Linked DNA regions of Alligator mississippiensis. The main gene of each other region encodes a partner of the protein of the gene in region 3 in a complex. Links are inferred from orthologs where the notes say so. Each region holds a gene or a part of one and is shown on either strand. Other genes may lie near its edges. The genes, in order: surfeit locus protein 1, TIMM17A, TIMM21 and SMIM20.

Region 1 (7,547 bases), on a different chromosome or scaffold from region 3:
ACTGGCCACCCCTAGTCTAATGCCTCAGCTGGCATATTAACAGTTGCTTCCAGGGTAGCGGGTGAGAGATCTAACTGGTTCCTCTTACCTGACCATTCAGTCTGGTCTCTGGTTTCAACTTCTTTTTTGGGACAAAGCCTCGGTTCACTAGGATTGTGATACTGCAGGTACAAGTAAGAACGGAGAGAGAAAAATAAGTGTTAGCAAGAGAACTCCCATCACTGAAACTACATGCCAAAAAGATTAGCGATCTACGTGTTTGAAAACCACTTTCCAGGTAACAGGAAGCAAATTAAAATGGGTTTTAAATGCACTTGGAAGTCAAGGGTTACCAACTGAGTAGACCATCTGAGAGGCTTTTTTCTTTTCTCTTGTATACATCACTGCTCTCCTTTGAACTAACCTGACAGCTGCAATTCAGCTGCTGCTGGGAAGAAACAAAGTGCCTGCTGCAGCCCTGCATAAGCCTAGAGTCCTCCAGCTAGTAGCTGAACATACCCAAGGTCTGTGCAGTAGAAGGGAGTAATGATGTTTGCTCCATTGTCCGGACTGGATGTCAGTCGTCCAGCTTCTCTGGCCTCTCGCTTAGGATCTACCCGTGAACGTGGCATAACGTAGAGCTCTTTGGAGTGATCAAAATACCCTCGAACCTTGACAGACCTGTACTCCAGCTCCTTCAGCTCTGCAGGGCTGTAAGGGAACAAGATGCACTGGGATGAGAGCAGTCTCTGGGCCACCAGAGCCAGACAGTTAAACCTTTAGCGGAATTACGGGGTCCCCTCTGTTTTTTTATTCCCCAAATGGACAACTGGCAAATCAACTGAAGAAAAAAAAAAAAAAGGATCAGCAGTAGCAGACAGAGAAACAAAATCCCCAATGAGTTAAGCATCCGACTACAGTTTAGCAGCACGCTAGTGAATAGCATGAGTTGTTAGTATCCTGGGTATACCCAGGTGTAATTCCTGTGTCACTGGCAGAACTCAACACCAGCTGGGAAGGGCCTTTTTCCTGTAGACATAGCATGTGGAGGTCAAGTCAACAGTAATTCTCCTTCCCTTCCTGACCCTTGAACCTTGACACTCTATACCAGATGGCCACATGCACTTGTTCTGTGCCTCAGATTTGTCTGAACAGTGCAAGGACCTTGTCTATCCACATGGCTTTTTGTAACACGTGCATTTTTGGTAGCACATAATGCTTTCCAGGGAAGCATTCACAGCTCATGTTTAAAATAAGATGAACCACCATATTTTTCTTTCTAGTTTGTCTACACTGCTTGCTGCTCCCATGTTGTCTATTAGTGTGCAAGTTCCTCAGGGCAAGGACCATGTCCCAAATTCCTAGTAGATTGCTGATGCTACATGAATCATCAAGTGTAAACCCAGCTTCTACACTTACTCTGAAGGCAGAGGAACAGGCTCTGATCCAACTCTTGACTCGAGGTCTGCAATCAGTTTCAACTTCCTCTTCCGGCGCTGGACCTGGGAACACACAGCAATGGCATCATCATGGGGGCTGCTGCTAATAACTTCTTGCAAGTTTGAAAACAAAATTCATGTTTTCCTCAATGCTGGGATCACACTGGTCTTTAACAGGATAATTGGAGACATGAAAATTGAAATACCTATTTCCTTGCGGGGATGGAAAGTAAAATTAAATTTTCCAACAAAAGAATTGCCTGGACTTGTTGAAACAGCCCAAATTAAAGATGCCAAACAACACTGACTAATTTTTATTTTGACACGGATAAGTCCCTCTGGCTGGCTAAGGCAGTTCTCAACTGATACCCATGTGCGTACTTTGATTTCTAAAGAGTGAAATGTTTTCATTTACCTGCCATGTGCCAAGGCAAAATGTGGTCACAGGGATCAGTAAAAGGCCCCACCTGAACGCAACATCCTCTCCAGATTCGATGACATCTGCTGTGCCACTTTTTGGTCTCCGGAGTCTCAAACAAACGTCTGGAGTGAATTCAAATTAGAAACACAGTTACTATAAGAGAAACCAGCTTACCTCCCTGCAGGGTTTGCAGCATCAGGAACTGATGTTTACCAAGCTTCCCAGCTACCATGCTACTGACTCGGTCCTAATGTTCTCTGACTCCTTTAATTAAGCTATTTTACTTACATTATCTACTCTACACAGTGATACTGTATTGGAGGCTTAAGTCTTCAGACGACATTATAAATCATCTCAGCATCCTTTGACAAGCGTAAAAGACCTCTATTTATGGAACCTCTTCATTTCAATTAATTCTAATGCATTTTACACACGGGCAAGTGGTGCCTCCCAAGTCCGGGGGGCACCAGATTGCCGATTGGGGGGGGGGAGGGGGTGTCACCCAGTGGCCAATTACCAAGCCAGCAGCAAAACTGGAAGTGCACTTCCAGTTTCATGGCTGGCACTTCCAGGGGTGCACGTGCACCCCTAGCATCGCCAATGATTTTATATAACTGCCAAAACACAAGCTTTCCCCCTTTCTTCCTCATGTCACATACTATTGGCAAGCAGCACAGGTAGAGAAAGCTGCATCAGACATCCCCGGCTGGAACACGACGGCAGCTGAGTGTCGGACCTGAAGGAAAGACGACATTTTTCCTTACCTTTAGATCCCTGTAGCAAACCGGACCGTGCTTTTGTACGAGGATATGCAAAAAACGTCCTGACCGAAACATTTGGTATCTAAACAAAAGCAAAGAGATGCCGTGTCACGCCCCTGCTTTGCGCGCTCGAGCCTCGAGCGATCAGGGCGGCTTCGGAAGATGTTATTTGCTGGGAAAGGGAGCTTGAAATGATCCAAAAGGATGATGTCATGTCTAGGGCCCGAGCCGAGAAGCAGGGGGGCTGGCAGAGGAAGGGGGGAACCCCCCTGCCACCCCCGTCCCGCCCCCCCCCCGCGCTCCCACCTGGGCACAGCCCCGGAGCTGCAGCAGCCTCCCAAGGCAGCGCCCGCCGCCCGCAGCCATTGTCCACAGCCGCTTCCGCTTCCGCTTCCACCGGAAGTGGGGACTCACTGGTAGAGACTGGTAGTCTCTATGGTTCCGGTGGTCGCGGGCACATCTACTTCTGCCGGAAGTGGGGAGTGCCCTAGTGACAGCGCGTCTCTATGGTTCCGGCGGCCGCGGGCACTTCCGGTGGGCGGGGCGCGGGGCCTTGGGGCCATGTGCGCGCTGCCCCAGGACGTGCGGCGCTTCCTGCAGCGGCACCCGGCGCTGCGCCCGCTGGGGCCGGGCGGGGACACCCGGGTGAGCCCAGGGGCGGGTCCCCACGCGGGGGAGCAGCGCGGGGGGGGTGACACGCGGGGGGGTGCCGCTGCGTGGCAGCTGGTGTTCAGCTTTGGGTGGAGCAGGAATCAGAAACCGCCCATGCCTGGACCGTTGTCCAGACCCTGCGTGAGGGGCGGGTGCAGGAGCTGGCGTCTCACACGTCTCTTCCCCCCTCGCCCCAGGTACGCTGCGAGCTGACGGGGCATGAGCTGCCCTGCCGGCTGCCCGAGCTGCAGGCCTACACCAGCGGCAAGAGGTACCTGCGGCTGAGCGGGACACCTGGCGCCTTCAACTACAGCGACTACGAACCCCACATCGTGCCCAGCACCAAGAACCCGTGCGTAACCCCGTGCTGGCGGCTGGGGCAGGGAGGAGGCCTCGGTGCTTTGGAGGGAAGCTGCTTGCTGGGCTGGGAAAGCTTTTGCAATGCAGCTTTGCTGGCTGTTGCCTTCGAGCAGGGGTGTCGAACTTGCACAGGCCTCGGGGCAGCGTCGAACTGTGCGGGCTCCCCTGGGCCCAGCAGGGCAGGTCTGCGTTCAGGCAGCAGAGCGGGTCCAGGGATGGCCAGCAGCCAGGCAAGCGAGGGTGGTGTCTGCATAGCCCTCTCTCCCCCTGTTGCTGGTGGGCATGTGCAATGGGGGCCTACGCACCCCGAATCCTGTGGCAGGACATGCTCCACTGCCCACACCGGTTGTCTGCTGGATCAGCAGCAAGCCGGCTGGAACGGTTCCGTAGGCCATGTTTTGACGCCCCTGACTTAAACCGCCCACCCAGGAGCAATGTGAGAGGCAAGGACTCTCACAGGTGATGTCTGTTATTGGGGCAGCTGCTTGGTTGGGACAGGCTTAGACCGCAGTGCCCTCCTTCGGGTCTCCATCTGCTTCTCTCTCAGAGGCCCAAGATTTGTGATATCCCAAAAGCTCATCTAAATCTATCCCCACCATAAAAGAGAGGACCCACAAGAGTCTGAGCCTCTTGCATGTTTTTTGGACCGTCACGGCTACAGCGTTGTTTCATTACTCAGACGTGGACCGTTCCATTTGCTGACTTTGCTGTGCTCACATCCATGTCTCTTCCTGTAGACACCAGCTGTTTTGCAAGCTCACGCTCAGGCACATCAACAGGGTCCCGGAGCACGTGCTGCGTCATGTCCAAGGGAAGCGCTATCAGAAGGCGCTGAAAAAATGTAAGTGGTGCTAGCGCCTTCTGCAACATCTTTCTTGATCTGTACTCGTGGCGCCCAGCCTGGTAGGTGGGAAGTGTTGGGGAAGCTCTCGACAACTTGCCAGTAACAACAGCACTCCTGCCTGCTGTTTGCAGTTTTTTTCTCTAGTTGGCAAAGCAGTGTCTTTGCTTTAGAGCAGAGGTTCTCAGACCTTTTTGTACTGCAGCTAATGCTTAAATACAGAGGTTGTGCAGTGGATGCTTTTCTATCTATGGCATCATGTGGTATCTCTGGCATTAACACTGAACATACAATTATGGGAATGCCTAATATTTTAACTCCCTGTCAATACAGTTTAGCAGCTGGAGAAGCCAGCCCTGAGGGATTTGCCAGCTGTCTGCATGTCCCAGCTTGAGCACCTTACGTTCAGCCACCAACTAGTGGAAGTTTGGATGGTGGCTTATATCTGTGGGGACTTGATGAGAGTCAAGATGAGCCTGGCAGTGTTGTTTTATCAGTAAAGGGACTGAAGCTTGTAGATCTCTGGTGGCAGTGTTTGGCTCAATTAGGTAGTGACTGAATGCCAGTCCTACCCGACGGCTGCTTGTTGGCCTGCATGTAGTGAGCTTGGTGTTCCTGGGAACAAGTGTTTGCTTTGTAAAAGCCAGCACCCCCTACCATGGGAGGTGTTTGTGTTTGTGTTTGCATCCCAGAAGCTAGGTTTGAATGGAACGTGCAGACTGAATTGCGCTGCCACCGCTAGAGGCATGTCCTGGTCAGAGTAGGAGCAGGGTGTGAAGGAAACTGCAGTGCTGGACTTCTCTGGACAGAATAGACTTGGGTCTCTGGGGATGTTTGGCTCTTGCAAAAGGTGTCAGGCTCGGTGCACACCCCTGCTACAATTGCTGCCAGGGCAGCAAGATTGAAGTGCGCGCTCCCATTTTGCATCCATTGGCTTTGGTGTCTCCCTAGGTCTCTGCAGGGGCATGGTCTGTGAAAGGTGCAGTTGCAATTCATACTGCACTGACTAGCTACCCAGGACCTTGCTGTACCTCTGGTTCGCTATCTTCCTCTATTAGGCCAGCAAGCTGCTGAATTGCTTGCATTTCTGTGTGTGATCCTAGCTGAGTCCCCCTGTTCTGTTCCCTAACTAGATGAGGAGTGCCAGAAGGAGGGCACGGAGTATGTGCCTGCTTGCCTGCTGCAGAAGAAGCGGCAGCGGCGGCATGATGACCAGCCGAAGGGGAGCAAGCCGCCGTGCAAGAGGGGGGATTTCTGGGAGCCCGCGTCCAGCAATGAGGACGAGGAGGACAGTGACGACAGCATGAGCGACCTGTACCCACGTGAGCAAAGCTTTGGCGTTTCTGAATATTGTAAACGGACCCCCTCTCCTCCCTCGGTCCTTCCTGGCACTCACTAGAAAGGCAAGTCTGTTTCAAGTGCAGGGGGGCTGGACCCGATGACCAGCCCCTAACATCTACGAATCCCCATTAGCAGCACAGGGAGTGGGATGAGGAGAGGACTTCTTGGTCATGCGTAAAAATGGGCAAGACTCTATGGAAAGAGGCAGAACTTTGCTACTTTGAAAGGGCAGCAGCAGGAGCGGGCCAGGATGGCAGTTCTGTTGATGCCTGGCCAGCGGGGAGCCCACACATTAGAGGATCATGGGCTGAACGTCTCCTGTACTTGGATTACTAAGGGTCCTGGGCCCATTGCTACTGATGTGCTGTCAGCTTATTTGCCTTCCAGGTGTTTCAGTAGTAACATACCAGTTGGTCACTGAAGGCCTTTGGTGATAGAGGTTGGAGTCTAATGCTTCAGCTTGGTCCGTTCCCCCATTAGGATGTCCCTGAAACCCCTGTTAGGATGTCTCTGAAGTGGAGTGAGAGCAGGTGCCCGTGTGAAGCAGAATCTGGCCCCATCTGGGTCTTGCCTTGTGTTTTAGCTGAGCTCTTCCCAGAAAAAATCCCAGCAGCTGCAGGACGTGGGGAAGACAGCGACGACTTTATGACAGACAGTGAAGAAGACAAGGCCAAGCCGGCTGGGGAAAATGGGGATGTGAATGGGGAGAAGAGTGAGAAAATGGACCTGGATGGACAAGGCAGCAAAAGGGGAAAGGTGAGTGCTGCACTGCTGTGGAAAGCAGTGACCCGCGTTGAGCTTGGGACATGAGGTGAACCTCTGTATGGGAGCACAGGGACGGTATCCTGCATGTTTGCACCAATAGTCCATCTGCTCTGCTGACCTGTGAGAGGGGCAAATGAAAGCCTAACATTTCCTTGCATGGAAGTTTCTAACAGTGAGCAGCTGGCGTAGACCATAAGCCTACCATTTCTTGGTAGACATTCATCTTCCTGAGGCTCTTTGTTCCTGTCTGTGTAATTATCAGATCTCCATATCAGCCCTCCTACACTTTGCTTTGAAAAGCAAGGGGATTGGGCTGTAAAATCTCTTCCCCGCATTAATCAAATCCCTTGACATAGGGTTAGTATATTCGCTCTTATTTCCCCAGCTCCCTTCAGTAACTACCCAGATGCTGTACAGTGGATCTCCTCCCCAGAGTACATCTCTGTCCTGATCCTGCACATCTTTGCATCCAAATCCCTGCTGTGTGTTTGGGAAGCAGCTGGACTTCATGGCCCCTGTATATAGCAGGTATAGGGATTTTGGAAAAATCCTTGCTGATAAGTCCAACTCTAAAAGAAAGTCCTGAGCGAAGGAAGTGGATTCCTTGCTGTTAGGAACATGCCAGTCTTGGGAGATCAGAGTCTGTGGTAGTTTGATTCACGTCTGCAGCCAGGTTGGCAGTACAGGAAAGCTTTGCTATTTGCGGGTTTGGCATTTGCGGTTTCAAATATTCGCGAATGCCGAATTCTCATTTTAAATGCACTTCATACACTTACAAGCACTCCTCAGGAGCTTTGTGATTGCTCCCGCTGGAGCTGCGTCCCCCTGCCCCAGCGCACATGAACGCAGTGCCTTATTTGCAGATTTCGCCATTCGTGGGGGGGATACAAAAACGTATCCCCAGCGAATGGGGAGGGTTGCCTGTATTGCCATTTAACGTGACGACAAAGCGGAGGAAGGGTACAATAGCTTGCAGATTGTAGGCAAGG
Region 2 (7,377 bases), on a different chromosome or scaffold from region 3:
TCTATACCTAACATAAACTTTTTTTTTCCCTGGCTTAAGGCTAAATTAGTTTTGAATTGACTGGGCCAAGCTCAATTGTTCAAATCTGTGTGGCTGTACCACTGGGCAAGTCTCCTCCCTCCTGGACCCATCAATCTGGAACTTAGGAGACTCCCCAAATACATAGCAAGCATCCTACATGCAGGCACCAATTCCAAAGGTGTTACAAGTTCAGATACCTCCTAGTCATGCTTCTCCTAGCCAGAAGGCCAAAGGAACACACCAAGGAGAAAATACAATCACAATCTCCCATTACCACAGAACTGTGCAGCTGATTTTCCCACATTTGGGAAACTTGCATAGGTCAGCCTGCCTGGAATGCAACAGAGAAGCTTCATTCTGAGAAAACCTGGTGATCATGGTAGTACCCCTATCAGGATATAGCATAAACTATACATGACATTATTCCAAAGCCAAAAAGGCTCATGATTTACAAAAGGCTCATTGGACTGGACCCCACCAGAGTCAACAGCACGTCAAACCACTGTGATTCCACAGCTCAGCACTGTTCAGGATGTACATGTATTCTAGATACCCGCAAAGGACCGACATGCCGAAAAGCCCTCCACATGTCTGGAACTGTGTGTTCTTATGAGGAGTCCTGAAAAATTTATATGCAGATGAGACATAGGGCAACCTCATCCAGCTTCATCTCATGTACGGTGCGGCCACCCTAATCACATGCGCCAGGCTGAGAGAGGGGCAACAGAGGAATTCTGGGTGAACTGTCTGAGGCCCTGTTTGGTGATGTCTGCCAGACATCTAAAGGCTGGTGAAGAAACAGTAATCATTGGAAATGGGAAAGATGGGATGTACTAACCTATCTTTGTATATTGTGTGGGGGGGAAAGAAATCAAAGAATGTAACCCCTCAGGGGAGAGGTTTAATAAAATAAATGGAAAGACGAGTCAAGGCTGAATAAATATAAATATGTATATATGTAGACATACATGAATATAGACGAATAAATGCATATAGATAGAATGTACGGAAATGGTAAAAGAAAGAAAAGAATTTGCAGATACATAAAGGAGACATAGGTATTATGTCGTTGTATAAACTTAGAATTGAAGTTAAGTCAACATGAAAATAAGTGCTCGTGTGTCATAAACATGAGGAAATAGATTATGAAACTGGGTGATTCAAGACAGATGGAGAAGTTTATATATAATTTTATTTTGGGAATCTATGTTTATATGTATATCTGGTAAAGCGATGTTTGCAAGTGGAATAAAATTTTATATTTTCTATTAAAAAAGTACATTATGTGTGGAGGGGGAGGATACATGAGGTTTGGTTGGGTGGTTTGTGGGGGTGTGGTGTGGGGTGTGTGTCACATACCCCCGTTCCCCCATGGTGCCAGCAGCAGTGGCAGCCCTAGCCCTCAGGGTACTCATGGCCTGTGTCAGGTGGCACCCTGGGCAGTGCACAGCTCCAACTGAGTCCCGGGAGTTGCATGTGGCAGCACAGAGCCGGCCTGGCCTCGTCCAATGATGTGTAGCTCCCGGGCTGATGGCACACAGCTTCCTACTGGAGTGCTAGCAGCTGCAGGGAGCCGTGCACCATCAGTCCGAGCTGGCTCCATGCCATGACATAGGGCTCCCAGCACTCCAGCGGGGAGCTGCATGTGGAGGCACAGAACAAGCCCAGCCCAATGGCATGCAGCTCCTGGCTGGAGCACCAGGAGCCACACCTGGTAGCACAGGGCCAGCCCAGCCTGGTGAAGTGCAGCTCCCCATAGCTCCCAGCTGGAGTGCTGGGAACTGCAGGGAGACATGTGCCATTGGGCCAAGCCGGCTCTGTGCTTCCATATGGGGCTCCTGGTACTCCAGCAGGGAGCTGCACCTGGAGGCAAAAGGCCAGTCTGGCCCAAGGGCGCACGGCTCCCAAGGCTGCAATTCTGGAAGAACAGAGGAACACAGCCAGCCCAGCCCAGCCCCATGGCGTGCAGCCCCCATCTGTAGTGCCAGGAGCTGCACATGGTGGCATGGAGCCAGCCCAGCCTGAGCTGCATGTCCTTGGGCCGGGCCGGCTCTGCCTCCATGTGGGCTCCTGGCTCCAACACCCCTTCCCTTGGGATTGGGTGGGTCAGGACAGGCTGGGGGGGAAGGAAGGCTTAGCAACCAGAGCCCGACCTGCTGCTGCAGCCAGCACCTCCTGCAGCCCATCACTCCCGCCGGCTTCCCGAGGGGCAGCGCTGGGATCCGACCAGTAACAACGGTCCACTAATAAGCCATCTCTGGAAGGGCTTTTTCCATTTGCTGTTCCTTCCCACACGCAATACGGGCCACTACTAAGTCTCTGCCTGAACAAGAATCTGAAACGCTGCCCAATTTAGTTGTCTGACATTACCATGCCCCTCCCTCCCCAATACAACCCTGTTAAAACAGGAGAACGAAAGAAAACGTCAGTCACTGCAGCACAAAACTTCACGCCGGGGCTGCGACTGTCCCAAATGCGGCCCCGCAAAGAAACGTCAGCGTTTTTAAGAAACCCGAGCACCAGGGAGAGCGTTTCCCGGAGGACGGAGCACAGCTGCCAGCGAGGCCGAGCCCGGCGAGTGTGTTGAGCCTTAACCTTCACCTCCACCCGGCCGCGGCGGGTCCAAGGGCAGTCAAGGCCCCAAGCGCCCGGCGGCGGCCATGTTGGGCAGGGAGGCTCGTCGGGAGGCGCGCCGGGCGCCGGCGGTGCGTGGCTGCGAGTCCAGCTCGGCCTCCGCCGCGCGCGGGACAGACGGAGGCGCCGGGGCAGCCCAGGGCCTCCCCGCTGCCTCGTGCCCAGGCCGCCCCCCGCCCCGCGGGGCCCGGCTTCCCTCAGCCGGGCTGGGCGCGGCCCGCTGGGTCCTGCTCACCAGGGATCGCGCACGTACTCCTCCATGGCGCACGCGGTAGCGGCAGAACCGGCTCACGGGGCGCATGACGCACCGCACGTTCGCAGGGGACCCTGGCGCCACCGGATTGGCTCCCGGCCTCAGGCGCTAGCCAATGGCGTTCGTCCGAGTGACGCTTCAACGGAAGGGGTTGGGCCCCGCGGAAGCCCCGCCCCCCTTGGCAGAGGCGGCGCGCGCAGCGCCTAGGCGCCGGCGGGCTCATGGTCTTTGCCCTAAGGAGTTAGGACGCGGTACAAACCCGTGTTGTGAGGCGGGGTGGTCATTTCATCTAATCCTCTTAACTTCTTAAATGAAGGTAGATGTGCACGTGCTGCAAACGGAATCTAACAACAAACTTTAATATTTACAAGCTCCTCTTTTACTATCTCTGAACACAGGTAGATGTGCTAGACACCTAAGGACTGGGGGGAAGCAGCTTTAATTCCAAGTGACGTGGCGTGCCTGAGGATCCTGTAACTGAGGCACCTATTAACTGTGGGGGAGATTCTTTAAAGGAGTTATTAATAGTAGGGGGATCTGGGAGTTGCACTAAGAAATAGCTGAAAGCTTGAGCGGTCGTGATGTTGAAAGGAAATAGCGGTACAGGGAGCAAAGGACTTAGAACATTCTTTCAGAAATGTGCTCAAGCTCTATAAAGAGTAAATAAGTCAGTTTTAATCATGAACGACTGGTGCCTCCCGAGACTGGGGGGCACCATGGCAGCGAGCGGGGACCACCTGCAGCCCCCGACGTCGGTGTCGGCAAGTGGGGACCGTCTGCAGATGCTGCTGGTCACGTCAGCAGTGGGGGAGGGAGTGCAAGCAGCAACTGCCTGCAAAAGCCAGAGGCCTATCTCAGGGGGGGCATGTACCCCCCCACCCTGTACCTCCCCTAAAATCACCTATGGTTTTAATAAACTGTTCTAATTTAATCTTACACATTTAGCATTGTAGGAATTTTAAAAAAAAATTTTCCTAGCTTGTTATTTTTGGACGCAAGTGATGCAAATATTGTCATGGATTGAGGCAATGGAATAAATAAAAACTTTCCCCCTTTCCCTTTACTCTTTTTGGAGTGGTTAAAAATAGTTTTGCATATAGAAGATACTGGTTCTATTCTGAATTCTGCAACTTTGCTTTAAGAGGAAGCAGTGAAAGGAAAGGGTGTATAGTGATGTGGTAATAACGGAGGATACCAGAAGGTGGTAGTGTGGCTTCTGTAAGGACTGTGCTGAGAAAAGGACATTAGGAGGAAAAAATGGACAGAAGGAAAGAGTGGAAAACTGTTCCAGTCCAAGCTCTGTATCCTGGCTCTGAGATGTCCATAAAACCTGAAAAGTGATATTTCTAACGTGGAGTTCATTTCCCGTGTCAGTCTGACCTGTCTGATCCGATCCACCTAGTTCTGTATCCACTCCTACCTACCACTGTCATTTGGAAGTTGTGGAAATATTAGGTTAACAGTGGGTGCGTCTACACAAGACTATGTTGCTATAGCGATGAGCTACATTGCCATAGCTTGTTACTATGGTGACGTAGTGTCAGCAGGCATGAACCATGATGCCCAAGCTACTCTGCTGTAGCAATGGGTTACAGTGCAGTAGCATCAGAAACAACGTGCGCAGCTTTGGAGCTGCACAGTAACGTTGGTTATTGCACAGGCATTTAGTATGTGCTTAAGCAAGCACTAAATGATTGTGTGGTAACAACTGTGCAGTCCAACGCACATGTAGACGCACCCAGTAAGATTCAAGTTTTCCTAAAATGCTTCATGTCTTTTTCTCTGATAAATTAGGTACTGACTGGACCAAATGAAATGCAAGGGAACAAGCAGATCCACTTTCATATTCAGACTTTGAGGAAACTGCTCAGATTGGCCTCCAAAATCTATGGATTCTTGGACATACAGGGCACATCTACACATGCACTTTAATGTGCATTAGCCTACTTTAATGAACATTAAAGTGTCACTAAAAACCCATGGGCTCCTATACATGTGCAGGGAGCCTGCTCCAACACACTGGAATTCCAGTGCGTTGAAGCAGACTCAAATAATAGAGTCTGCTGGAGCATGGAAATTAATGCACTCTGGTAGCCTCTAGCATCACCATGTATCAGTGTCCCCATGCTGAAAAATGGGGGTGAGGCACTTTAAACTAAAGCTGGTTTGATGAGCTTTAGTTCAAAGTGCCCCACTGCCATTTTTCAGTGTGGGGATGCTGATACACATGACACTCTGGGCGCTTTTAATTAGCACAGCTCTCAGAGCTGCACTAATTAAAGTGCCTCCCCCCTCCCAGAGCACTTGTATAAATGCCCCATACTAATTAGTTGAAGCACATTAAAATAAGCTAATGAGCATTAAGCATCACTAAAAAAACTGTGTTCTTTAGTTAATGCCTCACAATGGAGGTACACCATGAGGTTAATACCTAACAATGGTATTCAATGCGCATTAACTAAAGTGCATTAATGCACATGTAGACATGCCCACAGTGTCCCACATACCATGGCTGCAGCAGTCATAACCAGGAATGTGACATGGGAAAGCAGAAACAGATCTAGAGGGGGTGCAGTTGAGCAGATAAACACTCTTTTCCAATCACAGGGTGGGAACAGCAACCAGGGATTTCTTGTAAGTCACCAAAAAGTAAAAATCCCATCTCCTTATCCCATCTCTTAGCACTCCCACCCTTCTGCTCCCTCCCCAGCAGCACTTCCCCTCCCTCCTGTTCCCCTGCTCGGCACTGTTGCTGTCCTCGGCTGATCCAGGATTGGGAGGCTCCAGAGTTGCTCCAACCAGGAACAGCAGCAGTGGGTTCTTCTGCACTGCCCAGTCTGTGTGGGTGTTCCCTTCCAGCTCAGGAGCAAGTACAGAAAGTACAGAGTGGGGGAACCCATTTGCCATCATTGTTGCTGTCTCCTGCAAAGCCTGGCTACAGCTGCACTGGAATCCTCCTCCACCCCACAACCCTCCCAAACCACAAGCTGAGGGACAGGCAGGGAGGAGGAACCTTGCTGCTGCTGCTGCTGCTGTTCCAAGTGGGAGCCAGGCAGGAGCAGCACTTGAGACCCCCTTTCCCCTTCCACTTCCAGATCAGTTGAGGACAGCAACAGTGACAGCACAGGGGCTGGTGGAGGAGGGGGAGAATGGAAGGGGAAAGGAAGGGACATGCTGTTGAGGCCAAAGGGAAAAAGAGTGGGTGCCAAGAGCACGGGGGATGAGATTCTTACCTTCTGGAGGACTTAGAACTGTCCTAGATCCCATGGTGCATTCTGTGGTGTGGTCTCAACTGAATTTTGCTGGTGAAATACATAACATCCTCAGATAGAATGTCCTTATACTTCTCCTAGCCTTCCTCTGTACACTGCTATATTATTTCTTTCTTGATGTTCAGAGTGCCTTAGAATGCATTGTTTATTTCATTACAGTGCCAATTACTCCTTCTAAATCATTAATTAAAATGTTAACTAAAACAAAGCCCAGTACTATTCTTTATGGTTTCTCACAAAACCCAGTCCTTCAGCTTGATTCTTGTTCTCTTCTGGCCTATTCAACTGTAAGAAAATGTGAGCTGTACTAATGTTTTATCAACCACTAATGTACGTTATGGATGCAGACTAGCACCATGACTGATTTCCAGATCCTTTGTGCATGGGATGAAGAGAGAGAGACTGATGGTATGTCTATACTGCGGTCACTGCTATGATTGCAATTTTTTTAGGCAGACATTCCTGAACTGGCTTTAAAACTAGCCAGTTCAATCACCACTAGCAGTGTGGTTGTGGTAAGACAGAGCTCAGTATGTGTTGCAAAACATACCAGAGTATCTAATCAACTTCCAAGGTAGGATTTTTAGCTTGCCCTGAAATCCATTCTACCACAGCTACACTGTTAGCCCTACTTGATCTGACTCATGCAAATCTACATCAATTATGTCTATACAATATCCTTAATGTCTCCAGGGGCTAAGTGGAGGACACAATGTGAAAACTGTTACACAGTTTAAAAGGAATGTACTGTGCCTCTCCAGATCCTAGTCTCAGATGATAAGAAGTTGAGCATGGATTGCCTGCTTGAATTGCTCTTGGCACTCTGACTGCCTGGCAGATGGTACTTCAGGAGCACAACAGGTAAAATCCTAGTGGTACTGAAGTGAATGGCGAAATTTCAAAGGGCCAGGATTTTACTCCAGGTGTATGATTAGGGTATTCCTTATGTAAGAGTGCAGGCTGGGGGTGAACTCCCAGCACATACTTCCTCAGCCCTTACACGTTATTCTGCCAAGGAGGAGCAGCCAATATATAGTTCCATATATGTCAAATAAACATTTTTATTTTTGCATGCACACATAGGTTTCTCATATATATTTAAGGGTACATCATTGTAAGGCCCTTTAATATACTGAGCACTTACAAGACAGCAGGTATACAGGGCATTGGGGTTATGCTAATACCTCAGTTTAACAA
Region 3 (7,755 bases):
TTGGCTTTCAACTGTGGTGCCTGAAATGCACCTAAGTCCTTTTTTTTCAAATAGCTATGCCGCTTTTTTTTTTTGTGTGCATGTGTGTGTGGGGGGGGGGGTAAGACTCCTTTCCTCCATTTTGCAACTAGATGGAGCAAATGTTTCCACCTACATTTCTCTGGCGAGTAGTATTTTTCATAGATGCAAAAATGTAGCATAAGGAAAGCATTTCCTATTTTCAATGTAACAGTTGTAACTGCATTGTTAAATAACAACAAGAACTAATTACTGGAAGCTAGAGCCAGGAAAATGCAGACAAGAAATAAGGTACAGTCAACACCTCTCAGTAGCAACAGCCTAGTGTTCTGGTGCTCTGCGGGCACGGCTGCATGGGACGCTAAATGCACGGCAGAGTAATTCTACCATGTATTAGTGCGTCACGGCAAAAGCCATGCTATTGTGCTAATGTGCAGTAGAATTGGTCTAATGCACATTACTGTCACTTAAAAGGCATGCGCTACTGCGCAGTAGTGCCTGTTACTGTGCATCTAGTTAGTACCTGTTATTATAGGTACTAAACTTAATGTGCAGTAACTACGGCATATTAATGTACATGTAGACGTGCCCTGTTGCTCCTAAACTGCTCTTGCTCCGGTATAGATCACTGGGAATATTTTCACTGCTGTGTATTCAGATGAAATGTGGCTGTTGCTTTAACAAGCAATTGTTGCAAAAAAGGCATTACCTGTATTAAATTTTCAAAATGAAGGCAATTAATCATTTGAACAAATGACCAAAGTAAATGGTACATCTGTTATCTCTTAATTCCTCAGATCAAGACTGGATTCCTTACTGGAAGATCTGTTTCAGTCAGATGTGTTGTATAGGTTGATACAGGGGTAATTAGTTAAAATTTAAGAGCCTGCGATACGCAGGTCAGACTAGATTTTCTAATGGGCCCCTTGGGCCTTAAAATCAGCGAAATTATAGAGCCAGTGCAAAGTAATCACCCAGCTATTTATGGACTGCTCTTCAGAACCACTCACTTATGTCATTAAATTCAGACAGGTTTTAATCTTCAGGACATTATGTGGATATAGAATTATTTTCTGAACTGTTTCAACCACTTGCAGAGAATCAATTCCTAGAATATTAGTCAGCCAAGGTGTTTAAATCCTCTCTGTTTTTTTGCAGTAAGTTTAAGGTTCTGTTCAATACAAGTAAATGTCTATATTGCAGATTGCAATGTAGTGTGGAAACACCCAAGGGAAACAGAAATTTGGCAGCAAGCTTATGCATATAGCAGGCCCAGTCATAACGGATAAAAAAGGTTAGGAAACTCTGCAAGTTACTACAAAATGTTAAGTCTCCTTCTCTTGGTCTAAATCTAAGAGGCCTGTTATTTAGCCATTTATTATGCATCAGAAAGATTATAATGGCATCTGAAATATAATGTGCACAAATGGAAAATTACTGGCTGTCCAGTCACATCCCATTTATAGCAGGAAAATTTTCTGAAAATGAAGTCCCACTGACACTAAGTTTGCTGATAGTGAACTAGGATTAGCAAAACTGGACGTGTCCCCCCCTCTACTGTACATAGGTTACCAGAGGCCACCCTGATTTACACTGGGTGGGTCAGGTCCTGGCCTCACAAACCCATGTGTTGCAAAGAAGTCAACCAATGCAACGGGTGGTAATGCAAGGGAAATGTTACCCTGTGAGAGATGTACCTATAAAAGTTAATAGTGTATAAAAAAAAGGAATCAGGACTTGTGGTAGAGGTGATATCTTTTATTAGACCAACTAGATTTTTGCAAAAAAAATAATCTTTAATTGCAATTAAATTTCTTTAGTTGAATTAAACTGCAATTTAATAAACGTAATTACACTGCTCTAGTTGGTTTAATAAAAGATATCACATCTACCACAGATCACAATTCCTTTTCTCCTCTAGACCAATACAGCTACAACCTGGGTACATGAACGTCGCATGACTCCCGAGGCTGGGGGGTGCACAGCAATGTTGGTGGTGAGGCCGTGCCGGCGGTGAGTGGGAAACTTCTGCAGGTGGCCGTGGCAGCGGTGAGGGAAAGAGGTGGCGAGCACTAACCAGTGATTACCCGCAGACACTGTTGGCAGTGTTGGCGGCAGCCAGTGGCGATCAGCAACTGCCCGCGGACACTGCCAGCGGTATCGGCAGCGGGGAGGGGAGGCGAGTGGCGAGTGCCTACAGGTGTCGGTGGTGGCCAATCTCAGGGGGTGAACGTACACCCTCTACGCGTCGCCAATGCCTGGATACCTAACAGTGTAGAAAGCAATTCAAAACAAGGCAAAGTAAAGTCAAGGAGGGGAGGAGGGAGAGAGGGCTGAGATGTAGCAGTCTTCCTGAATGCTGCAACTCTCAATTGCAATTTTGACACTCAATTTTGCACCACTGCCCTCGTGTGACACCATCTCCATGTTGCTCTGAATTGCTACTGGCTTAAAAGGGCCTCTCCTTACCTTTCCGAGCAGGTGACAGAGATGCTTCCTCTTTCTGGCTTCTTTGCACAGACACTCGTTTGCTGTTATTCTCAGCTCTCAGGGACCCTTCCTGGGTCCAGAGACTTTGCTTTGCGCCTTGGAGAAATATACGAGGGCGCCGCACACCTCTGCGGACAAGTTCGTGTCTCCCACTGAAACACGACCAGGTCCTTAAAAACACTTTCCCATGGGGGGCAAGAAACCACTTTCCTGGGGAGAGCTGTAGCTTCTCGCTGCACTGAATCACTCGCATGAGGGAAGCAGAAAACATGCTGGGGCAGATCAAGCCTTTGAGAATGCTATAGGCTCAGATCAACGCAGCTTCCTTCAAGCTAAGGCTAACCTCACCTTGCTTGCTGCTGAGCTGGTGCAGCCCCTGAGAAAGCAAGAAGAACTAGAGCAATCTTTTGCTTTTTGTCTTGCCGGCTCACTCAAAACCCCACATTCCCCTTTGCTCGCTGACATTTGCAACTTGCCCCGCCATTATTCCTTGCAAAGTCCCTGTGATCCTGGGAAACGTAGTTTGCACAAACTCTTCTGCTGCCCCGAGTTAAGGGGGTTGGAGGCCAAAAGACTACAAGTCCCAGAATGCAAAGCACCAGCCCCTGCTGTTGAAATCAGCAAGATCCAGGACACGAATCAAATCGAAAGCCACTGGCTTGGGCACGGGGAGCACGTAGGTAACGTGCTGCTGCAGCCAGGGTTAGGCATTTGGTGTGTTCCCTGCTTTGCCAGTTTTCAGTGTTTTAGAAAGGGGTTCAAACAGCTTTTCTTTTTCAACGTTTAATGTCTTAACAAGGGTTGTTAACATCTTTTCTTTCATTAGGGTTTTGCAAAAATGCAAGTTGCTCCTTGCTTTTTGCATGAAGCTGTAAAAGGGCAGATCAGGAAGTATTTCTATTCTAGAGGAAAACTGGTGACGTAAGGTCCCAATACTGCAAAGACTGGATGTGCACTGCAAAATTAGGGGTTAGGGTTGAAAGGTTTTTAACATGGGAATCTGTTCATTAATTGCATAAGCAGGAGTGTGAGCATGCAGCAATCGGGCCAATTCGATTTATTATTTGCCTTCCTTTGAACTTTACCCTTGTGGTTAGAGGTTCTGCTTTTAAACTGAGGATCAAATCCAGCAATCACATGGCTGATTTATGTGGTCACCTAAAGTGGCTCTGCATGCTGATTTACCCTGCTGTCTACCCAATTTATGGAATGATTATTAAATGCAAAATCTAGAAGTACCAGTTGGGGCAGGAGATCAGAACCCAGCACCCATCTCTTTGAGTTGCATTTCCTTCAATTTGCTTTACTTCTGGCTCTTGGTTTTCAGTTTTTTAAGTTTCAAGAGGAGTCCTTCTCCATGGCCTTGCAGTTGGTATGCTTTGCTATGAAACAGGAGGTACAGGTTTCAAATTTATGAAGCAGCAGGTAGGGTGCTAGAAGCTGAATTTTCCACTTCCTGGGCAAGTGCCCTAACCACTAGGCCAGCATTTCTCAATCTGGGTTGTGACCCAAAGGTAGGTTGCAAGAATATATGAAAGGGTGGGGAGCGAACTTTATAAATGGATCAACAGACTTTAAAAATGGACTCTCCTTTAAAGGAAAAAAAAATGGGAAACTGTTTTTTCCATTGCAGGCTGGCAGAATTCCAGTTTACGAGGGGCTGCTTGCTCCCTCCCCCTCCCCCCCTCCTTCCTCACACCCCCTTTGCCCCATACACTGCGGGGCTGGGGCTTGGGGTCTGGGTTGAGGCAGCGGGTTGGGAGTGAGGGGTACTGGGTTGGGACTGGCCATCAATGGCTACAAATGAGTTCTGGTACAAAAAAGGTTGAGAACTACTGCACTAGGCTATAGGGCTAAAATTGGGATTATTATTTTGGGATTATGCATGGAGTTATATCCCTGGCTGGAATGGGAACACAATAGGGTGGAAGGAGTTGGGAGTGGTTCCTGTGCACAGAAGGGGAAGGTGAACTGTGCAGGGTGGAGGTGGATCTAAGATTTGCATAAATGACCTGAAATGCTGCTTTCTTAGTTAGCTGTGGCAATATAAGGGCTACTGACCTGCCTAAAGGGAAGTTATAGAATCATAGGCAATTAGGGTTGGAAGGGACCTCAGGAGGTCATCTAGTCCAACTGCTTGCTCAAACGTCAAACAAACATAATCTCTCTCATTCTTTTCCAAGCTCCTTTGTCTCTTATTGTAGTATTGTTTTGTATGAAGTTACACAATTATCACAAAGCTGAGTATCTTAAAACCCTATTCTACAATTAAGGCCAAGATCTTTATTAATTGTACCTCTGCAACCTCACTGAATTCAACTACTGTGTATTACAAAGGTACTATAGAAGACAGAACTTGAGTTTGGGTGTGTTTAATTTTATAAAATATATTTACACATTTTGGGGTATGTGTATATAAAATGCACAACAGCAATATACATATTTATTATTTATATAAAAATAAATAAAGCCACTACTCAAACATATCTTAAAATATTTTGTTCAAACTTTACATGAAAATGAACCTCTTTAGGGAATTTGTTTAAGAAAATGATGAGCAACTGAAATATAGAATATATAATAGGAGTTAGATTTCAGCCATAACCACATATATGTGTAGTTCAGAGGTGTCAAACATATATGGCTTGTGGGCTGCATCTGGCCTATGAAGCCATATGGTTCTGTGACTTATGGGCCAGATCAACCCCATGTACTGGCCTTAGCCCCCTGCACTGCATGCAGTATGTGGTCTAGACTTGGCACTGTGTGTCCTGCACACGGCACAGGGGATCAGTCAGGGGAACACAGTGCATGTTGCACTCTGCAGGACCAGCCCTGCATACTGGCTCTGACCTGGTGTAGATCAGGCTGTGTCACATATAGCATGTGCCCTATACTGGACCTCCCTGCCATATGCACAGCGAGGCCTGGAACCGGTGTACGCAGCATGCAGGCTGGACCTCATGCTGTATGTGCTGCACACAGAGTTGGTCCCAGTCTGCTCACAGACTGCCCCAGGGATCCTCATCTGACCCGTGGAGCTGGATGAGTTTACAACCCTTGGTGTAGATGATTTCTTTGGTTCCACTGATACCAAGTGCCTCTCAAACTTTACATGTTGGTATAAAAATACATTTAAGGATCAAATTAAAATAACAGTTAACCATATGCTAATAAATCTACTTTGTTGGAAGAATCAGTCCCAACACTGCAGGTACCAAAATGGCTATTTTGGAGATGCTAGTCACAGATCTGTCACTTAGGTTTTGTTCTTAAAGCAGACAAAGTATTTATTATGCATGCAAATGGCAGCAATTGCTCTTTGAGAATAAATGGAACATTCTGAGAATTTGGAAGTAAATCTGTTAAATGGTTTAGGCTTAATTTTAATTATTAGTTGGGTCCTGTAAGAAATTTAGCAGCAGGTGTCAGACCTTTTTTTAGTCTCAAATTATCTTAATAGCAGAATAACTCTGGCAGTTCAAACTTCCCATATAGTTTAAATTCACAGAAGTCTTTTGACTCGGTGGCTGCTTCTGACTTTTCTTTCTTGAGGATGGATAGTAATACTTGCAAATTATTCTTCCAGCAGAAAGCTTCTCCTTTAGCCAGCGCTGAAGAGTAAGTTTCTCATAAGTTCTTCAGAGAACTCCCCCTCTCTAAATATGACAACTTGTTATTATTCTCAGTGATCCTGGAGCCACAGTTTGTACTCAGGTGGCCAGTATGAGAAGGCAGAGTAGACTGGCACCTTTGCCAGTGGATCTCAGCCTTTTTAGACTCAAGGCACCCTTGGATAGACTTGAGGCACCCCTTTGATTTCTGCTCCACCCAAAGTTTAAAATCAACTGCCTGGCAGTGACAGCAGCATTTCTCAATAGGCAGTGCTGAGTGAGTCACTTGAATCAGTCAGGGGGTTGGGACTGGATGACCTCTGGAGATCCCTTCCAGGCCTACTTCTCTATGACTCTATGACTTCCTGGCTCATTATCATCTACCTGATCCCTCCTAAACTTTTCAATCTGTATGTGTATAGCATTCCTCCCTTCTTTTGAATAGGCTTGGTGTCCAACCAAGCAAAGGGATTGTGCTATGCTATGCTGCTGCCTGTTCCCTGCTCCTGGTGAGGCAGCTCCTGTCTTATAGCCTTGTGAATTAGTTTTCAACTCATTCCAATGAAATTCTCTTTGTTTCTTCTTCACTCTAACACTAAATAATACAGCCCTGCCTGGGTCTCTAGCCTGTTAGGAAAAGTGTCTAATTTCTTTTTACCTAGAGAGAAACACCTGTAGTTTTAGATGCCATGATGCCCCTCACCAGGTGTATCACCCCCTCCCCCCCCCCATTTTTTAATGTCCTAGCACTATGGCAAGGTTCATGCCATTAGCCTACAAGAGTACTTTGTAAAATCTAGAGCTACTCGTGCTCCTACTTCAGATCAGAAGTGCAGCCATGAAAGATCCAAATGGCAGCAGTCCTAGCCCAAGCATCATCAGTGAAGATGTGATTATTATTAATGGTCACGCTCATGAAGATAACAATGCATTTGCTGAATACATGTGGATGGAAAATGAAGATGAGTTTAACAGGCAGACAAGAGTTATAGGAAGAATTTATTGAACATTGTTTTTAAGAAATGCTGGAAAAGGAAGAGTAACACAAATGATTTTATTCCCACTCGAGATCTCCCACAAACAGGGTGCATGTACATGAGAGGTTTACTGCAGAGCTGATTAATTAGCTCCACAGTAAAGTGTTAGCATCTACACATGCGGTACTATTTGACTGAAATAGACTAAATAACTCGGCCATAGGACAGTACTGCCCAACACGGGTATGATCCTATGGTGGAGTTATTTACTTTGCTGCAACACGCATGTAGATGCTGACCAGGGCTGACTGGTGCATTAGGGTTGCCCCACACCACAGCACTTTTGTACCCCAGCTAGCCCCTCCACAGCATGTTGAGTCAGAGCAGCCCCAGGCTGGCAGGCGGACCACCGGCACCCCCCGCCTGCTGGGGCTGGTCTGCTGTGACTCAACATACTGTGGTGTCAGGCGCACCTGTAAAAGCAACGCAAAAAAACTCCATTGCAAACTGCACGGGAGTTTTTTTTTGCATCAAATTGGTTTCACAAGTAGACGTGCCCAGAGTGGATCAAATCCAGGGCCAATTTAATAGCCTTGCTATCAGCGACAGCTCATCACGGGAGGACGTGATGATCAAGGGTCATCTGAGTCCGAGCG
Region 4 (7,480 bases), on a different chromosome or scaffold from region 3:
GAATCACCATTCACTTTCATGGTTGCTAAACAAACATCTATTAAAACCAGCAAAAAATGAAGGTTAAGGCATGAGGTGCTAGTGAATACTTTTGTGCCCAGCAAAAGTGATACAAAATTTCTCTCTCACAGCAATGAATGTCAAATGTCAGTTTCAGGTTCTTATAACCAAACTGCAAGGAAGCCACATGAGCGTAACAAGCTCTTGTGCTTCTTTAAATGCTAAAATAAATAAATAAATAAATGTATATATAGAGATTTTACACACACAAAATCTTTAAAAGTTTATTTATTTTTACTTCAGCATGGTTGTGAAGTAACATGTTTTGGACACCCAAAAGTCGGATATAATTGGAGATTATCCATTATACATATGAGAGGTTCCCAAACTTTTTCTTATTGTGTACCCCTTCCAGATTTAATCAGCTGCCCCCATGCCCCTACTACCATACATTTTATATTTTAACCCCTTAATGACAATTATTATAATGGACATTAAAATCCACTGTTACGCAATTTCTCCAGTGTACCCCCTAAAGATGTCACGTACTCCCAGGAGTACACGTACCAGTTTGGGAACCCATGATATACATGATATCCAAATATATCCAACTTCAGGTGTCTGAAGCACAATACTTTAAGGTGTCCAAAAATCATGCTATAAAGTTGGGTATACCTGGGGGGGGAGAGAGAGAGAGAAAGAAAAAAAAAACAACACAGTCGCCAAATATATCCAACTTGAGGTGTCGGAAGCATGTTACTTCACAATCATGCTGAAGTAAAAATAAATACACATTTTATTTATACATATAGGTAAATAAATAAATAGTGTCTTTTTTATTTCCTGACACCTGAAGTGTGATATACACATAGATCTCCAAACATGTCTCAAAATACAGTCAACTCATGGGCATCCAAAAGTTATGCTGTGAAGTAAATAAATATACAAACATATAAATATACAAACATAATTGAAGATGCAGACAGAAGTGACAATTTTCATCCAATCTCGCCACAGAAAGCAGTCTATAGCTGTGACCAAACAACTGCTCGGCTGCAGACAGCTTAAAAATGGCCAATCTGGTGAAATCTGACCCTTCGTTACATGAAGTATCAAATAAAGATATTTCAAAATATAGCGCCTTCTGTAACCTGTGTCTGTGGAGCTCCCAGCCCGTCGCTGCTTTCAGAATGGGAGGAAGGAAAGGGAAAAGGAGTTCAGTCTGGGGGGGGGGGGGGGGGTTGACCCCGGGAGGTGGGGCAGGAATATTGGAGCCCCCCCGCCAGAGATGGGGGGGCCCAATTCACCCACCTCACCCTTCAGCACCAGCAGGGAGCCCCGAGAATGAGCTCTCCCCATTGCCGTTCCCCTTCCCATTCTGAAAACAGGGAGCACTGGCAGAGTGCCCTGGCCGTTGCTATGGGAACCTGACTGCAGGGACAGCTAGATTCCCCTCCCAGGGGAGGGAAGGAACATGGGGGGGCAGATCGAGGCCCCCATGGTGAGGGAAGGAATGGGGCAGGAGCAGGAACTGCCCAGCCAGGGCGGTGAATGGGACCCCAGGGCCAGGAGCTGGATGGAGTCGCAGGCAAGTCGTCTGGGGGCAAGGGGAGGTAGGGAGGGAGAGTGGCTCCCCACCACAGCTAGTGCCCCTGGGAGATGCATGGGGGACATATTCCCCCCCAGACTTGTGCGCGGGTGAGGGTGGACTGTCTGCTGCGTGCTCATGGCCAGGGGCAGCACCAGCCTCTTCCCAGCAGGGGGACTGGGATGGGGCTATGCTTGGGCGGGAGAAGGGCAGACTCAGATGCATGGGGGAAGGTGGCAGTGCTGGGAGGGTTGGCTATGGGGTGGGGGAGTGGGGAGGCTATGGGGAATTTTGTGATTGCTAGAGCGCACCCCCAGCACCACCCTTGCTTAAGGCACTCCACTCTACTGCCTTTTCCCTCAGGGGCCCCTCTGGCCACAAGTCCCTGCCCACCCCACAGCAGGGGGCTCCTGAGTGAAAGGCAGCAGAGTGCCCAGAGCAGGGGCGGTGCTAGGGGAGGGGCTTTGGGGGCTCTAATCACCCCAATAGTTTCCATAGCCCCCCCATAGCCAGCCTTCCCAGCACCACCACCTGCCTGTGCAGTGGAGACTGTCCAGCCCCCTGCTAATAAGAGGCTGGCACGTCCTGGGCCAGCAGTGGGCAGCCCACCCTTGCCCCATGCACAAATCGGGGGCGGGGGAAGGGGACACATGCCTCCATGGACGAGCCACCTGTGACTCCAGTGACTCCACCCTGCTCCCAGCCCCAGGATCCCGTTCACTGCCCCACTCCCTCCCTCACCACCCTGGCCTCCATCTGCACCCTCATGCCCCTTCCCAGCAGACTTATTGGCAGGGCAAGACACTGCTCTCCAAACTGCCAGGCTACTTTCTTAGCTGCTGCATGTGCCAGCTGCGGCTGCACGTGTGCATGCGGCGTTTATTGGGGATGTTTCTGGCCAAAAAAAGCCGACTACCAGTTACATTATTTTTCCAGTTGTGGGTGACCACTCTCTCTAGCTAGAAGTGTGGTGCTTTGCAGAACAGGCTCGGAGGCACAGCCAAGAGTTGCACGTCCCTCTACCCCCTGGCCTCCCCTTCGATGCCACCCACCGTGCCCACCAGGGACGCGACAAAAAGGGGCGCAGCCGTGTCCTCAGGCAGGGACTCGCCCTCTCCGACTAGAGCCGGGAGCCGCCAGCGCCCCCTTGCCCCGGCCCGCACGGAAAGGGGCCAGTGGCCCCGAGGAAGCGACGGGCGGGGCGGGGCGAGGCGTCCCGCTGCACCGCGCTGGCAGGGCGGAGCCCGCGGGGCCACTCACTGTAGCGCTCTATCTGCTGCAGCGGCAGGACGTAGATGGGGTAAACCACCGCCCCCACTGCGGCCACGAAACTGCCGAAGATGAGCAGCGCGCGGGAAACTCGCGCCATCGCCGCCGGAAGTACCCGCTTCCGCGGGGCGCGGGGCACGCCGGGAAGAACTTGCGTCACGGCAACGCCCTCCCCCTGCGTGGGAGGTGCCTCTCCTGCCCCGCATCCGCCCCGCCCCTGCTTGACTTTGACATCACTGAGTTGATCTTGTGCGTCACGGTCCCCCCGGCACGCGCTGCCCTTCTCTCCTACTCGTCATTTCCCTTCTTGTGGGTGTCGCCTGCCGGGTCTCACCTGGGCCGGTAGCGGCCTGGTGCATCACCGCACTCGCATACTGCACGGGCCTTTCCACCCGCCCGAGCCCAGCCACGCGGGAGCGGGCAGTGCGGGGGGCCCGGGCCAGCCCTGACCCAGCTGCGCTGGGCGGCGGGGGCACGGCCCCACCCTGGCCTGGCGGGGGGAAGCAGGCGCGGGGCTGGCGGTATTAACTGCCGCCACGTGTCCTGGCCTCCGGGGACCCGCACAGGCCCGATTCCGAGGGTTTGCGCTCCGTTTGGCGCATGGGCTGGAGGCTGAGCGCCCAGAGGCTAGACCAGGGGTAAGCAACGTTTTTTGCCCGGAGTGCCGAAAAACACCACAGTGCCTACCTTGGAAGGTGCCGCGGTGCCGGCAAGGGGTACATAGCAGGATGCCCTGCTTGTGCCCCTTGCCCCCCACCCAAAGCCTCTTGCCCCATGCCCTGTGCCCCCACCTCTACTGCCCCTCGCCCCCCACCCAAAGCCCCTTTCTCCCAGCCTGGGCTCTGTGGCTGTCAGCAGCTCCCCAGAGCCGGGGTCAATTGCAGCCGGGAGGCTCCAAACAGCTGCGCGGGGCCCCGGGCTCCGGCATCAGCTCCGCACCGGCGCGTGCGCCTGCGTGTCAGAGCTGACGGGGCTGAGGCAGCGCAGCCCCGGCCTCCCCCCACCCCGCTCCCGGCACGGAGGTGATGGCGGGCTTCCAGAGCCCCGCGCAGCTGTTTGCAGCCTGCCCCCTGCTTGCTTGCTGCAGCTGCCCAGAGCCCAGGCTGGCTACAAACAGCAGCGCCGGGCTCTGGAAGCCCGCCATCACCTCCGTGCCCGGAGCGGGGTGGGGGGAGACCGGGGCTGCGCTGCCTCAGCCCCGCCTTCGCCGCCTGCTCTAAGGCGCGGGTGCAAGCGCCAGTGTGGAGCTGATGCCGGAGCCCGGCACAGCTGTTTGGAGCTCCCGGCTGCACCCGCCTTGGCTCTGGGGAGCTGCTGCCAGCCGGGAGCCCGGGCGGCTCCCAGCAGGCAGCTGGGATGCTGCAAGCCCTGCTGGAAGCATCTTAGAGCTGGGGCTGGCTGTGGGTGCTAAGCAAAATGGCCTCGCGTGCCATGCTTGGCACAGATGCCGGGGGTTGTCGACCCCTGGGCTAGACAGTGGATTTGTACAAGTTTCCTTGCTTTATGCGGTACACGAATTCCTGGAAAACAGCGCATAACTCAATTTTGCATAAAGGGACCCACTTTATGGTGTAAGAAATAGGGATACGTTCCAAGACCTTGACTGTTCTGACTCCCAGACCCATTTCTGCCACTTTTACAAGACAATTCTGGTACTCACCAACAGGGCACACTCATAATGGGGATGGCAACTACAGAAACACATGTCTCAGACAACAAGTCAGGAGCACAGAACCACACAAGAGACTATATTTTAGTGCGCATCACTCCTACAATGCACTGCACAAAGCAGCTGACTGCAGGCTTCCACCACACCAATCACATAAGAGTGAATTTACCTCGCATATAATGTATTTTTGGTATAAAAAGGGTTGTTGCATAAGAGCAAATTCACACATACAGAACCCGCATAAAGCGAGGGAAACCTATAGGCTGGTTTGGATAGGGATGATCCTTCCTTAGGCAGGGGTTGGACTAGGGTGCATCCTACAGATCAGTGATTCTCAACCAGGTGAGGCAGCACCACTGGAGTGTCTTGGGATTGTCTCAAGGCTGTAACAAGGCCATGCCATGTTAGCACTGTTATTTTTATTTTATTGCTCTGTTTTATTTTAGTCAAAAAACAAGAGCTGGCAGTTTTGGAAGGGTGCCTTGGGTCTAGCCAGGGGTGCCTTGAGTCTGAAAAAGCCCAAGAACCACTTCTATATCATAATTGAATAACAGTATAAGAGCTTTCATGAGCAGCAACTCACTTCAGTCTCCCTTTAGCTTAGCTCCCATGTTTCCTTTCTAGTTGTTAGACTTAGTTGTGTCAGGGCTGACTGTGGCTTTGCTAATAGGTTAGACAATGCATTTGGATAGGATGGTTTGGATAGGGATGATACTGCCTCTGACACGGTTGGATTAGATGACCTCTGGAGGTCCCTTCCAGACCTACTTTTCTATGATTCCATGACATCATGATGCAGAAAAGCATATAAATGTGAGGGGTATTAAACACAACAGAAATGCTGCTAAAGTTGCAGGCTTAAGTGAATACAGGCGGGTACTATTGAGGTTTTGTAATATTTTTATCTATGATCTCAAATAGTAGGGGTAGGAGGCCAAATTGATTTTTTCTGCAGATAACCAGTATGACATGGGTGTTAGAAAAATCCAGTCCCTTACATACTTTGAAGGGTTTGTTGTTTTTTAAAGAAATGTCAGCCAGTCTTCTCTGATTTCTAAGAGAGGTCATCTTATATATATATATATATATATCAGAGGTGAATTGAGAGATTTCTCTGTCATTAGCAGAAGGGGTAGCAGCATTTAGATGCTTCTCTGTGGCAGTAGGGGACAGGACTAGGAGTAATAACCTCAAGCTCCAGCAGTAGAAATTCGGGCTGAAGATTAAAAGGAACTTTCTTACTATGAGGGTGGTCAGGCTGCCTAGAGAAGTTGTGAAATCTCCATCCTTGGAAACTTTCAAAAGCAGGTTAGACACTTGGCTGGGATGCTTTAGTCAGGAATGATCCTGCTTCAAGCAAGGAGCTGGATTAGATGACCTTCTGAGGTCCCTTCCAGCCATGAACACCGCATGCCCCCAGAGGCTGGGGGGTCATGACCGCCCGCAGGTGTCAGAGGCAGTGGAGGAGGGGTCAGTTGGCAGCAAGTGAGGAGCTCCCGCAGGCGGCCATGGCAGTGTCGGCAGCGGGTGGTGGGGAGAGTTGGCGAGCGCCAACCAGCAGTCAGCGACCACTTGCAGTTGCTACCGAGGGGGGGTGCCACTGGGTGGGGAGGAGTGGTGAGTGGCAACCACCCATAGGCACCGCTGGCAGCGTCTGCAGCGCTTTTTGCAAGGGGTGCACATGCACCTGCATGCAGCCCCTATGCATCACCAGTGCTCCCAGCCCTACTTTCTTATGATGCTATTTAACAGATAGCTTTTCACCCAAGCTGTTTTCTTTGGAGTTTGTGTTATATGTGTTATCAAAAATATGTCAAACAGGCCACCCCTGTCAGTTCATCACCTTTCATTTGCAGGGTATTCCTATCAAAATCTACAATTTCTCCAGTTGTCTATTGAGGTGATGTTTTGGAATCATTTCAGAGCTATTTTATTTACGTGTGACATACTATAAAGGCAGTTGTATCAAGGGAAATTGTTTCCTAATGTCCCTATTTCAATGGATGCATTTCCAACAGAATCATTTGAGACAAGGGATTAATGCAAAATTCCATGACTAGATATGCCAGTTCTCAGCCTTTGAAATTCTTCCCTCCATGGGAAAGCTTTTACCTGGCTCAGGAGAACTGTACCTCTGATCCTCCAAAATATATAAAAGAACAGCTGAATCTGAGGGAGACATACCAACTCTGAAACAACCAAAAGCAAAGACGGACTCAGACAGTGTACCTGCCCTGGCCCAATGACAGCCATGGGCAATACCTGCTAAGCTTTGGATGTGTAGACTCATGTAGACACCTTTTCCCATTGTGGAATACTGTTCTGGCCCTGATTAATAGGACTGTGAGAAATTTCACTGGCTGTTCATTTTGACACTGTTTCGACTCGTTTCAAGCTCGAAACAGAAAAATTGAAATGAAACGAAGGGCTTCAAAACAGCCTTGAAATGAAATGAGGGCAGTTGAAACTTTTTGAAAGTTTTGAAACATTTCAAAGCTGAAGCTGGGCTTGCCTGCAGGGAAACAGAAAGTAAGGAGAGGGATGGGGAAGAAGGGGGAAGGAATGCTCTGTTATTGACTGTGTAGCTGGCCAGTGACTGTGATCCTTCCCTGAGATCCCTTCCAATCCCAGTGCTCTGGGGGAGGGATGGAAAAACAGAATAAAAGGCAGCATTGTTTGAAATGGCCTGCTTTCTGCCTTGGGGTCAGTTACTGAGCTATCTTCCACCTCAGGAACGTTAGACAACAAAGGCTACTACTAGCATTGATTTGATTTCCTACTTGCTAGCCTAGCAAGTGGGATTCCTCAATACCTTTTGCTTTCTTTCTAGACCCATTAATTTTATTATAATATTAATTGATTTATTCTTTTCAATTTCATAATTATGTTGCATATTATACTATAGAATTTATATAGGAAGGCACATATACATTTATAAATTTTTATTTTTACAC

What was found.
Region 1: TIMM21 (region 3) and surfeit locus protein 1 share a complex: the UniProt entries of both Homo sapiens proteins name them as parts of the MITRAC (mitochondrial translation regulation assembly intermediate of cytochrome c oxidase complex) complex. The link is inferred for Alligator mississippiensis from reciprocal best matches to the Homo sapiens genes TIMM21 and SURF1.
Region 2: TIMM21 (region 3) and TIMM17A share a complex: the UniProt entries of both Homo sapiens proteins name them as parts of the TIM23 complex. The link is inferred for Alligator mississippiensis from reciprocal best matches to the Homo sapiens genes TIMM21 and TIMM17A.
Region 4: TIMM21 (region 3) and SMIM20 share a complex: the UniProt entries of both Homo sapiens proteins name them as parts of the MITRAC (mitochondrial translation regulation assembly intermediate of cytochrome c oxidase complex) complex. The link is inferred for Alligator mississippiensis from reciprocal best matches to the Homo sapiens genes TIMM21 and SMIM20.

The regions. Positions count from the first base shown.
Region 1 is NC_081835.1:60,871,597-60,879,143, forward strand, and holds the start of surfeit locus protein 1, read right to left. Parts: upstream 3,014-7,547; 5' UTR 2,967-3,013; coding exon 2,907-2,966; intron 2,683-2,906; coding exon 2,604-2,682; intron 1,962-2,603; coding exon 1,834-1,961; intron 1,482-1,833; coding exon 1,399-1,481; intron 691-1,398; coding exon 499-690; intron 162-498; coding exon 89-161; intron 1-88. Other genes in the region: SURF2 (surfeit locus protein 2), read left to right, coding at 3,162-3,245, 3,449-3,603, 4,349-4,452, 5,586-5,774, 6,377-6,549. UniProt on the Homo sapiens protein: Component of the MITRAC (mitochondrial translation regulation assembly intermediate of cytochrome c oxidase complex) complex, that regulates cytochrome c oxidase assembly.
Region 2 is NC_081837.1:29,731,983-29,739,359, reverse strand, and holds the start of TIMM17A (mitochondrial import inner membrane translocase subunit Tim17-A), read right to left. Parts: upstream 3,001-7,377; 5' UTR 2,917-3,000; coding exon 2,891-2,916; intron 1-2,890. UniProt on the Homo sapiens protein: Essential component of the TIM23 complex, a complex that mediates the translocation of transit peptide-containing proteins across the mitochondrial inner membrane.
Region 3 is NC_081826.1:107,906,201-107,913,955, reverse strand, and holds the start of TIMM21 (mitochondrial import inner membrane translocase subunit Tim21), read right to left. Parts: upstream 3,010-7,755; 5' UTR 2,780-3,009; coding exon 2,488-2,779; intron 1-2,487. UniProt on the Homo sapiens protein: Participates in the translocation of transit peptide-containing proteins across the mitochondrial inner membrane.
Region 4 is NC_081825.1:39,731,934-39,739,413, reverse strand, and holds the start of SMIM20 (small integral membrane protein 20), read right to left. Parts: upstream 3,006-7,480; 5' UTR 2,958-3,005; coding exon 2,849-2,957; intron 1-2,848.